2 linked regions of the Lonchura striata genome follow. The protein of the gene in region 1 binds, or shares a complex with, the protein of each later gene. Links are inferred from orthologs where the notes say so. Each region holds a gene or a part of one and is shown in the gene's direction. Other genes may lie near its edges.

Evidence for each region.
Region 2: CAMLG (region 1) and GET1 share a complex: the UniProt entries of both Homo sapiens proteins name them as parts of the golgi to ER traffic (GET) complex. The link is inferred for Lonchura striata from reciprocal best matches to the Homo sapiens genes CAMLG and GET1.

What each region holds. Positions count from the first base shown.
Region 1 is NC_134617.1:9,338,329-9,342,233, reverse strand, and holds the start of CAMLG (guided entry of tail-anchored proteins factor CAMLG), read left to right. Parts: upstream 1-1,107; 5' UTR 1,108-1,113; coding exon 1,114-1,276; intron 1,277-2,355; coding exon 2,356-2,810; intron 2,811-3,680; coding exon 3,681-3,746; intron 3,747-3,905. UniProt on the Homo sapiens protein: Required for the post-translational delivery of tail-anchored (TA) proteins to the endoplasmic reticulum.
Region 2 is NC_134604.1:113,858,097-113,862,001, reverse strand, and holds the start of GET1 (guided entry of tail-anchored proteins factor 1), read left to right. Parts: upstream 1-1,216; 5' UTR 1,217-1,242; coding exon 1,243-1,350; intron 1,351-3,001; coding exon 3,002-3,167; intron 3,168-3,694; coding exon 3,695-3,762; intron 3,763-3,905. Other genes in the region: HMGN1 (non-histone chromosomal protein HMG-14), read right to left, coding at 475-525, 609-638, 755-787, 1,010-1,024. UniProt on the Homo sapiens protein: Required for the post-translational delivery of tail-anchored (TA) proteins to the endoplasmic reticulum (ER).

The sequences.
Region 1 (3,905 bases):
CACCTGTCCTGGCAGTGGGTTTGTCCTGGCAGTGGGTTTGTCCTGGCCGTGGGTTTGTCCTGGCCGTGGGTTTGTCCTGGCCGTGGGCTTTGTCCTGGCAGCGGGTTTGTCCTGGCAGCGGGTTTGTGCTGGCCGTGGGTTTGTCCTGGCAGCAGGTTTGTCCTGGCAGTGGGTTTGTCCTGGCCGTGGGTTTGTCCTGGCAGCGGGTTTGTCCTGGCAGTGGGTTTGTCCTGGCCGTGGGGTTTGTCCTGGCAGTGGGTTTGTCCTGGCCGTGGGTTTGTCCTGGCAGCGGGTTTGTCCTGGCAGTGGGCACCTGTCCTGGCCGTGGGTTTGTCCTGGCAGTGGGTTTGTCCTGGCCGTGGGCTTTGTCCTGGCCGTGGGTTTGTCCTGGCAGTGGGCACCTGTCCTGGCCGTGGGTTTGTCCTGGCCGTGGGTTTGTCCTGGCCGTGGGTTTGTCCTGGCAGCGGGTTTGTCCTGGCCGTGGCTTTGGGTTGCCGGGCTCTGGAGGCGAGTCCCGCTCCCATGGCAGCGCCTCCGAGCAGGGCACTGCAGCTTTTCGGTGCCAGGACAGTGGTGCTGATGGGAGCCCTATGTGTCATGGGCTGGTCAGGGTAACGTGGCAGTTTTATTACCTGGCACACAAGGAGAGGTGTTGCCGGATTTTCGGTGGCCATAAAGATGGATATTAGGCCAACTGGATCTTACAGCAAAGAAGTCAATACGCTCCCTGTTCGATAATGCCAGTAGCTCTGGCGTCCTCGAGCGGTGCTTGTCTGTTGGTGTGTCCTCGGCGTGCACCGCCAGCCCCGCGGCGGTGCCGTGCCAGACTCGGGGCTGTCCCGTGTGTGTCCCCGTCACCGCCTCCCCTCAGCGCCACCATCGCCCTTTCCCACCCCCGCACCCTGACGTCACGCCTGAGGCCGCGGCAGCCATCTTGAGTGCGGGCGCCGCGCCGTCAGAGAGGGGCGCGCGGAGCGCTCTCCCAGCGCGCCCCGCCCTTCTCCTGCCCCTACGCAAAATGGCGGCGCCCGCTTCAGCGGCTGGAGGCGGGCGGCGCCGGCGCCTGCGCGGTGGGCGGGGCGGGCCCGCGGCGGCGGGCCTGCGGTGCCGGGGATGGCGGACGGCGGCCCGGGAGCGGCGGCCGCACCGCCGGGGCCCCCCGCGGGGCTCTCGGCCTCCCAGCGCCGCGCAGAGCTGCGCCGCAGGAAGCTGCTCATGAACTCGGAGGAGCGGATCAACCGCATCATGGGCTTCCACCGGCCTGCGGCGGGCAAGGGTGAGCCCCGTGGCGGGTGCGGCGGGGCTGTGTGAGGGCTCCGGGGCTGCGGTGACGCCTCGGCCTCTCCGGCCGTGAGCGCTGCCCGCGGTGCCCTGGTGAGCAGGAGCGGCTGGCTCCCCTCAGTGCCGCCTCCGTCCGCAGGGATGCTTCCACAGCACGACCTGCCCTGCTCCGCCAGGGACCCGCCCAAAAAATCCCTGTGCCGCCGGAAAGGTCGGGACTTGGGCCCGGCACGGTCCCTAGACAGCGAGCATACAAGCTGTCATTTCACTGCAAGTAGGTTTTTTAGTTGAAGAATCGATGAGCTTCCCCCATGTTTTTAGTCAGTAGCTGTTGCCTTTCATAGCTGGCTTTTTATAGCCAAGTTATCTCACATTTGGATAGTGACATAGATGTTTGTGGTTGTTACGCAGAATTTTCTTGCAGAGCCATATACTGGGTAGTGCACTTATATCTCTGTACATTCTTCAAATGGGCTGTCTTGTCAGGAAAAATTCTCAGATTTTGGTTTATAAGGATGCCCATGAGCTGTGAATCAGTCTGACTTAACACTGAAAAGAATTCCTGAAGTGTTAGTTCTTGCTCTGTGGTAGGTCCAGACATGCTCTTGATTTGCCTTTTGCTCTCTGCCTTCACCTCTGTCTCTGTAAGATGGGTCTTCAGGCTTCATACAGAACAGATTAACACTGCTCTGCCTCTGACAGTAGAACAGCAAGCTAAAGTGCACTTCTCTTGTCTGCTTCTTTGTCAGGTATTAGTGCTCTTTTGGTTGGGTCACTTTCTGCAAATCTTTGTCTTTTTTTTTTAATTTCAGTCCATGTATTTGGATCTTTCTGTTTGTGTGTGCAGTGCTCTTGCTTAAGGAAGCTCAGTGTTTTAATATCTCTATTGCCTCAACTTCTGACCTGCATTGCACAGCTTTATGTCTTGTGTCTGCTCCATGAAGAGTGCCCTCTTTAATCATAAATGTGTCTTTTCTCTTGGGAAGCAGAGGCCCAGGATCCTGACCCAGTGTAGCTGAAGTGTTGTTCCATGTACACAGCATGCGTAACTCTGTTTTTATTTTTCTTCCTTAGATGATGAAGGTCACACAGAATTAAAGCTTCAGCACGAGCAAGAGAAATCAAACTCCCTTTCCATTCCTTCAGTTTCCAAGCGGATTGTGCTTGGTGATTCTATGTGTAACGTGACAGGCTCGACCGAGCATGCGGGCAGCATGGCAGAGCTCAGAGGGGACAAGGACTTGTTTGGTAAAGCCCCAGAGCTGGTCACCGAGGGGACAGGCGAGCTCCGTCAGCGTCACAGGGGAGAGCTGCCCTCTGAGGCTGCACCACGGCCACCGAGACATGGCTTGGAGCAGTACCTGTCCAGGTTTGATGAAGCTCTGAAGCTGAGGAACCAGCTGATGAGTGAGAAGCCGAGCCAGGAGAACGGGAATGCGGCGGAGGAGTTTGACTCTTTCCGCATTTTCAGATTGCTGGGGTGTGCTCTGCTCGCCATCGTGGTCAGGGCTTTCGTGTGCAAGTACCTGGTGAGTTCAGGGACACAGTCCTGCTGGGGCTTGCTGCTTGGTGCAAGTTACTGGGAAATATCTGGGGCTGAAGTCTATTGGTAACGACCCAGTTGGGAACTTCAGGCACTCTATATTTCCAAAAATTATATAAAACCTAAAAAAAAATGCTGAATTCTATGAGATTTATCTGCTACAAATACAGCCACTGTGTAACCACTGAGAGCAGCACATTTGGTCTGTTGTGTGTGTTGTTGTGGAACACTGGAATAGTTGTTGCAGCTTAAATGCCCTGCATGTTTATTCCTATCTTGGTGAGCATATGAGTCAGCTGCTCCTCGAGTTTAGGGTCTACAAAAGAATAATAGAGTAAGAATAGAGCTCTCATCTGTGGAAGTGTCCAAGGCCAGGTTAGATGAAGCTTGAAGCAGCCTGATCTTGTAGAAAGTATCCCTGCCCATGGGTTTGGAATGAAATGGCTTTTCAGGCCACTTTCAACCCAAATAATTCTGTGATTCTAAGAATAATAGTTGTACCAAGATACTCATTTATCAGTAGTTCCTCAGTATTCCCAGTGCCAGCGAGAACAAAAGCACAGAGGTGTGATGCAGCTGCAGCCATACAGCTCCTGGATCCCTGGGCTCAGTTTTGCACTTTGCTGTTCTCTTCTGCCATTTCAGTTCTTTTGGCTCAATGAATATTAGGCAGAACCTTATTTTTGGCATGTAACTTGTCTACTTAGATTTTTAGTATTCAAGAACAACTTTGCTCTGTTCCACAAATTAATTTTTACCTAATAATTTTCTTTTCTGCTTTGGAAGCATTAAATCTTTGTGTTTCTTAGCTATTCTGACCAAGTTAATTTTTATATATTCTTTTCTGTTCCTTCAGTCAATATTTGCACCGTTTCTTACTCTACAACTTGCTTACATGGGACTGTCCAAGTACTTTCCAAAGGTAATTTTTTTTTCAGAATTAGATTAATTTGAGGTGTTTTAAGTTTAAACTTGTATTTAGATTGTATTTTAGGACCGATGCATGTGAAGTATTCTTCCCTTGTTTTAAACTGTATAGTTGAATGACCAGCGCTGATAGTTTATACTAGTTTTTAATCTT
Region 2 (3,905 bases), on another chromosome or scaffold:
GAATCATTCATTTTGGAGAAGTCCTCCGAGATACTCCGGTCCAACTTTAACAGAGCACTGCCCTGTCAACCACAGCAGAGCAAACAACATCCCAGCCTACCCTTGGACACGTCCAGGGATGGTGACTGCACCACCTCCCTGGGCAGCTTTTCCAGTGCCTGACCAGCCTTTCTGTGAAGAAATTCCTCCTGATGTCCTAACGCACAGTTGTTTTGACAGTCAGGTAGTTCCACCCAATACCAAAGCACAATGTAACACGCATGGATCCGTGCCCACGCTTCCATGCAATGCCTGGAGCTTAACAAGAATCTACAGCCACCGCGACGGAATGTACCTGTAAATACTGGCAAAAGCTGATCAAAACATGGCAAGGGAGCGTTCCCACAAGGAACCAAACCATTCCAGCACGGTGCACGGAGGACACCACGCGGGATGCCCCCAAGCACTCCCTTCCCTCTTCCAATTCCCTCTCACCTTTGCCGGTAACTTTTTGGGTTTCGGCTCCGCTTTGGCAGGCGCGGGTTTCTGAGGAGAGAGAACAAGTCAGGCGGGGACCCAGCCCTCGGGGACCCATCCCGGCAGGGCCCCGCCGCTCGGCGCTCACTTACCGCGGAGAGCCGCGCCGACCGCCGCTTGGGCTGCGGGGGGAGACACACGCAGACACAGGGAGAGAAAGAGAAAGAAAGCGAGAGAGAGAGAAGGGCGTGAGGGGCGGGCGGGCCGGGGCAGCCCCGCCGCCCTGCCCTCTCCTTACCTCCTCGGGGGCGTCCCCGTCCGCCACCGTCACCTGCAACACACACTCGGCGTCAGCGGGGCGGGGCGGCCCCGGCCCCGGCCGCCCCCTCCCGCTCCGCCAGCCTCGCCGAGCCCCCCACGGCCCCGGCCCCCTCCCCGGCACAAGGGCCAGCCGCCGGCACCGCCCGGCCCCGCACCGGCGCCCGCGGCGCGGCCGCTCCCCGCCGAGCCCGCTCGCCTCCCGCCCGTCGCCGCTGCCGCCGCTCGCCTTCACCTTCCTCTTCGGCATCTCGAGGCTCCCGGCCGCGACCCCCGCGGCGGCGGCTGCCGGTGTGGCGCGGCTGCTGCGAGCGCGGCCGCCTGCGAGCCCCAGCCCGGCTGCGCAGCGGAGCCGCCCCCCTCCCCATCCCAGCAGCGCCAGCGGCGCCGCAACAGGATCCAGCCGGATCGGGGCGCGCCGCGCCATCGGCCCGCCCCGCGCCGCCCGCCGCGGGCGGGGCCGCGGCCATGGCCGACGGCGGCACTGCGGCCGACAGCGGCGCCTGGCTGCTGGTGCTCAGCGCCGTGCTGCTCTGCAACGCGCTCAAGATCCTCCTGCCCTCCTGCTCCTCGCTGGTGAGTGATGCCGCTGCCGGGGAAGGCAGTGAGGGCACCCCAGGATGCCGGCGGGGCGCTGAGGGGGTTCTGTCAGCGCCGGGCTGGGACGGGCAGGGCCTGGTGCTGCTGCTGGGCTTGCAGAGAAGCTGATGCTGCTGGCTGGGTGGCTCCCGCAGCCCCGCTTCCAGTGTCACAGTGTCACAGAAGTGAGGTCAGTGGTGCTCCTGAGCCTGCAGCCCTTGGGTGCATCGCGGGATGGTTTGGGCTGCAAGGAGCCTTAAGGATGATCCGCTTCCAGCCCCCCACCAGCGGGCTTGGCTGCTCAGAGCCCCGTCCAGTCTGCTCCTGGACTCCTCCAGGGATGGGGCATCCACAGCTCCCCAGTTTTGGTATGGGAAATACAGCTTTGCTCAGTCTTGCATGTTTTCAACAGATGCCCATTGTTGAGGTGGGAGATCAGTGGATATGGATATTAAGGAATTAAGTCAATGTAGGAATAAATCTTTATAATCTTAGCCACTGATCAGGGTGCCCCTGAGCTGATCTGAAGCATTCCTGTGCCAGCGTGGATAATGGATTTGAGGACAAATAAATGCTGTGGCTGCCAGATCAACTCACGTGTGTACAAAGATGCTGAAATCCCTGTCGCTCTGCTCTACCACAGAAATAACTTCACTGGCACAGAGATCAGTGTGCACTGTTCAAAAATGGACAAAAATCCTTTAAACCTTAAATCACCCTCAGCAATTTGGGAAGCTGAACTCGGTGCTGCTAGAGAAGAGTGATGAAACAGCCATAGGAGGAGAGGCTGAGGGCGTTTGGTTCGTTCAGTCTGGAGGAGGCTGAGGCTGGGATCTGCAGCTGCTCCCGAGGGACAGCTCTGATCTCTGGCACAGGGACAGCACCCAGGGAGGACTGGAACTGGGCCAGGGGGCCAGGGCAGATTTAGGGTGGGTTTTAGGGAAAGGTTCTTCCCCAGAGGTGCTGGCACTGCGCAGGGAATGGGCACGGCCCCGAGGCTGCCAGAGCTGCAGGAGCCTTTGGGCAGCGCTGCCAGGGATGCCCAGGTGGGATTGTTGGGAGTCTGGGCAGGGCCAGGAGTGGGACTCAATTCCTTGTGGGTCCCTTCCAACTCAGGATATTCTAAGATTCTCTGAAGATGTCTGCTCAGCTTTCTGCTGTGGTTTGAGGCTGAAGATGGTGTAAATGCTCTCACTGTCTGTAGGCCTGAGAATAGCATCCCTGGGGAAATAAATTACATGTGTCTTGGGGAAGATTTGCTAAGGAACAGCAAGAAAAAGATTTTATGTTCTTTGTGCCTGCATTTCTATGGCAAACAGTTCACAAGCCAACAAGCAGGTAGTGCCTCAATAAAAGAAATTAGGAAAGTAAAAGGAAGGGAGAAAATATTGGAATACTTGGCTGCTGGAGCTGGAAATGGGAATGATCACAGAATCGTTTAAAGTGGAAAAAACCCTTCAAGATCGTTGAGTCCAGCTTGAGGCTGTTTACTCTCATCTTGTCACTTGTTCGCTTGTTGCCCAAGGATTTCCTGCATCTCAATGAAAGGGCCTTTTTGATGGGAGGCTTTTGAGATCATACTTTATACAGACTAAAGCAAATCAGTGGGATTCTGCATCAGTAATTGGTCACTTCCTTCACTTCTTAGATATCCAGGCTGTTACAGAAGGATGCAGAGCAGGAATCCCAGATGAGAGCTGAGATCCAGACCATGAAGCAGGAGCTTGCCACCATCAGTATGATGGATGAGTTTGCCAGATATGCCCGGCTGGAGAGGAAGATTAACAAAATGACTGACAAGCTCAAAACCCACGGTACAGTTCCATGTCTGCTCCCTGTTCCAAAAGGAAAAACATTTTCTGTTTCTGAAAAGCTGTCAGGACTGTTTTCAGCTTTAAGTATTTATCCTTCAAACTTACCTTCCCCATCTCACCCATTTTCAGTCCTCTCCTCTCCTCTCCTCTCCTCTCCTCTCCTCTCCTCTCCTCTCCTCTCCTCTCCTCTCCTCTCCTCTCCTCTCCTCTCCTCTCCTCTCCTCTCCTCTCCTCTCCTCTCCTCTCCTCTCCTCTCCTCTCTTCCTTCTCTGTATAATTATTTATTCTTAGTGATGCCCATCACTGAATCCTCTTTTGAGTAAGTCAAGATAGAAATTACAGTGTGATATAGAGCTGGCAGTTTGTTGTAGAAGGGTGTTTTTAATATGGTTAGAAATCTTTTAGAGATATTTTCAAACAGGGTAATGTCCAGCCTTAAAGAGGGAAATATTAAAAAATTATTAATTTAATGCAATAATAATTCATTATTATAAATAATGCAAACTAATATTTTTTTTCTTTAACAGTGAAAGCACGAACTGCCCAACTAGCCAAAATAAAGTGGGTCATAAATATTGTATTCTACATATTGCAGGTAAGTAAATATTTTGTTATGGATACAACTTAACCCAAATCCTCAGTAATGTTACAATTCTCTCCTGGTTTTTTGGCCCATAGCTGGTCACTCAGGGCTCCCCCTGCACAGGAGGAGCTGGAGCTGCTGCAGAGAGCCCAGAG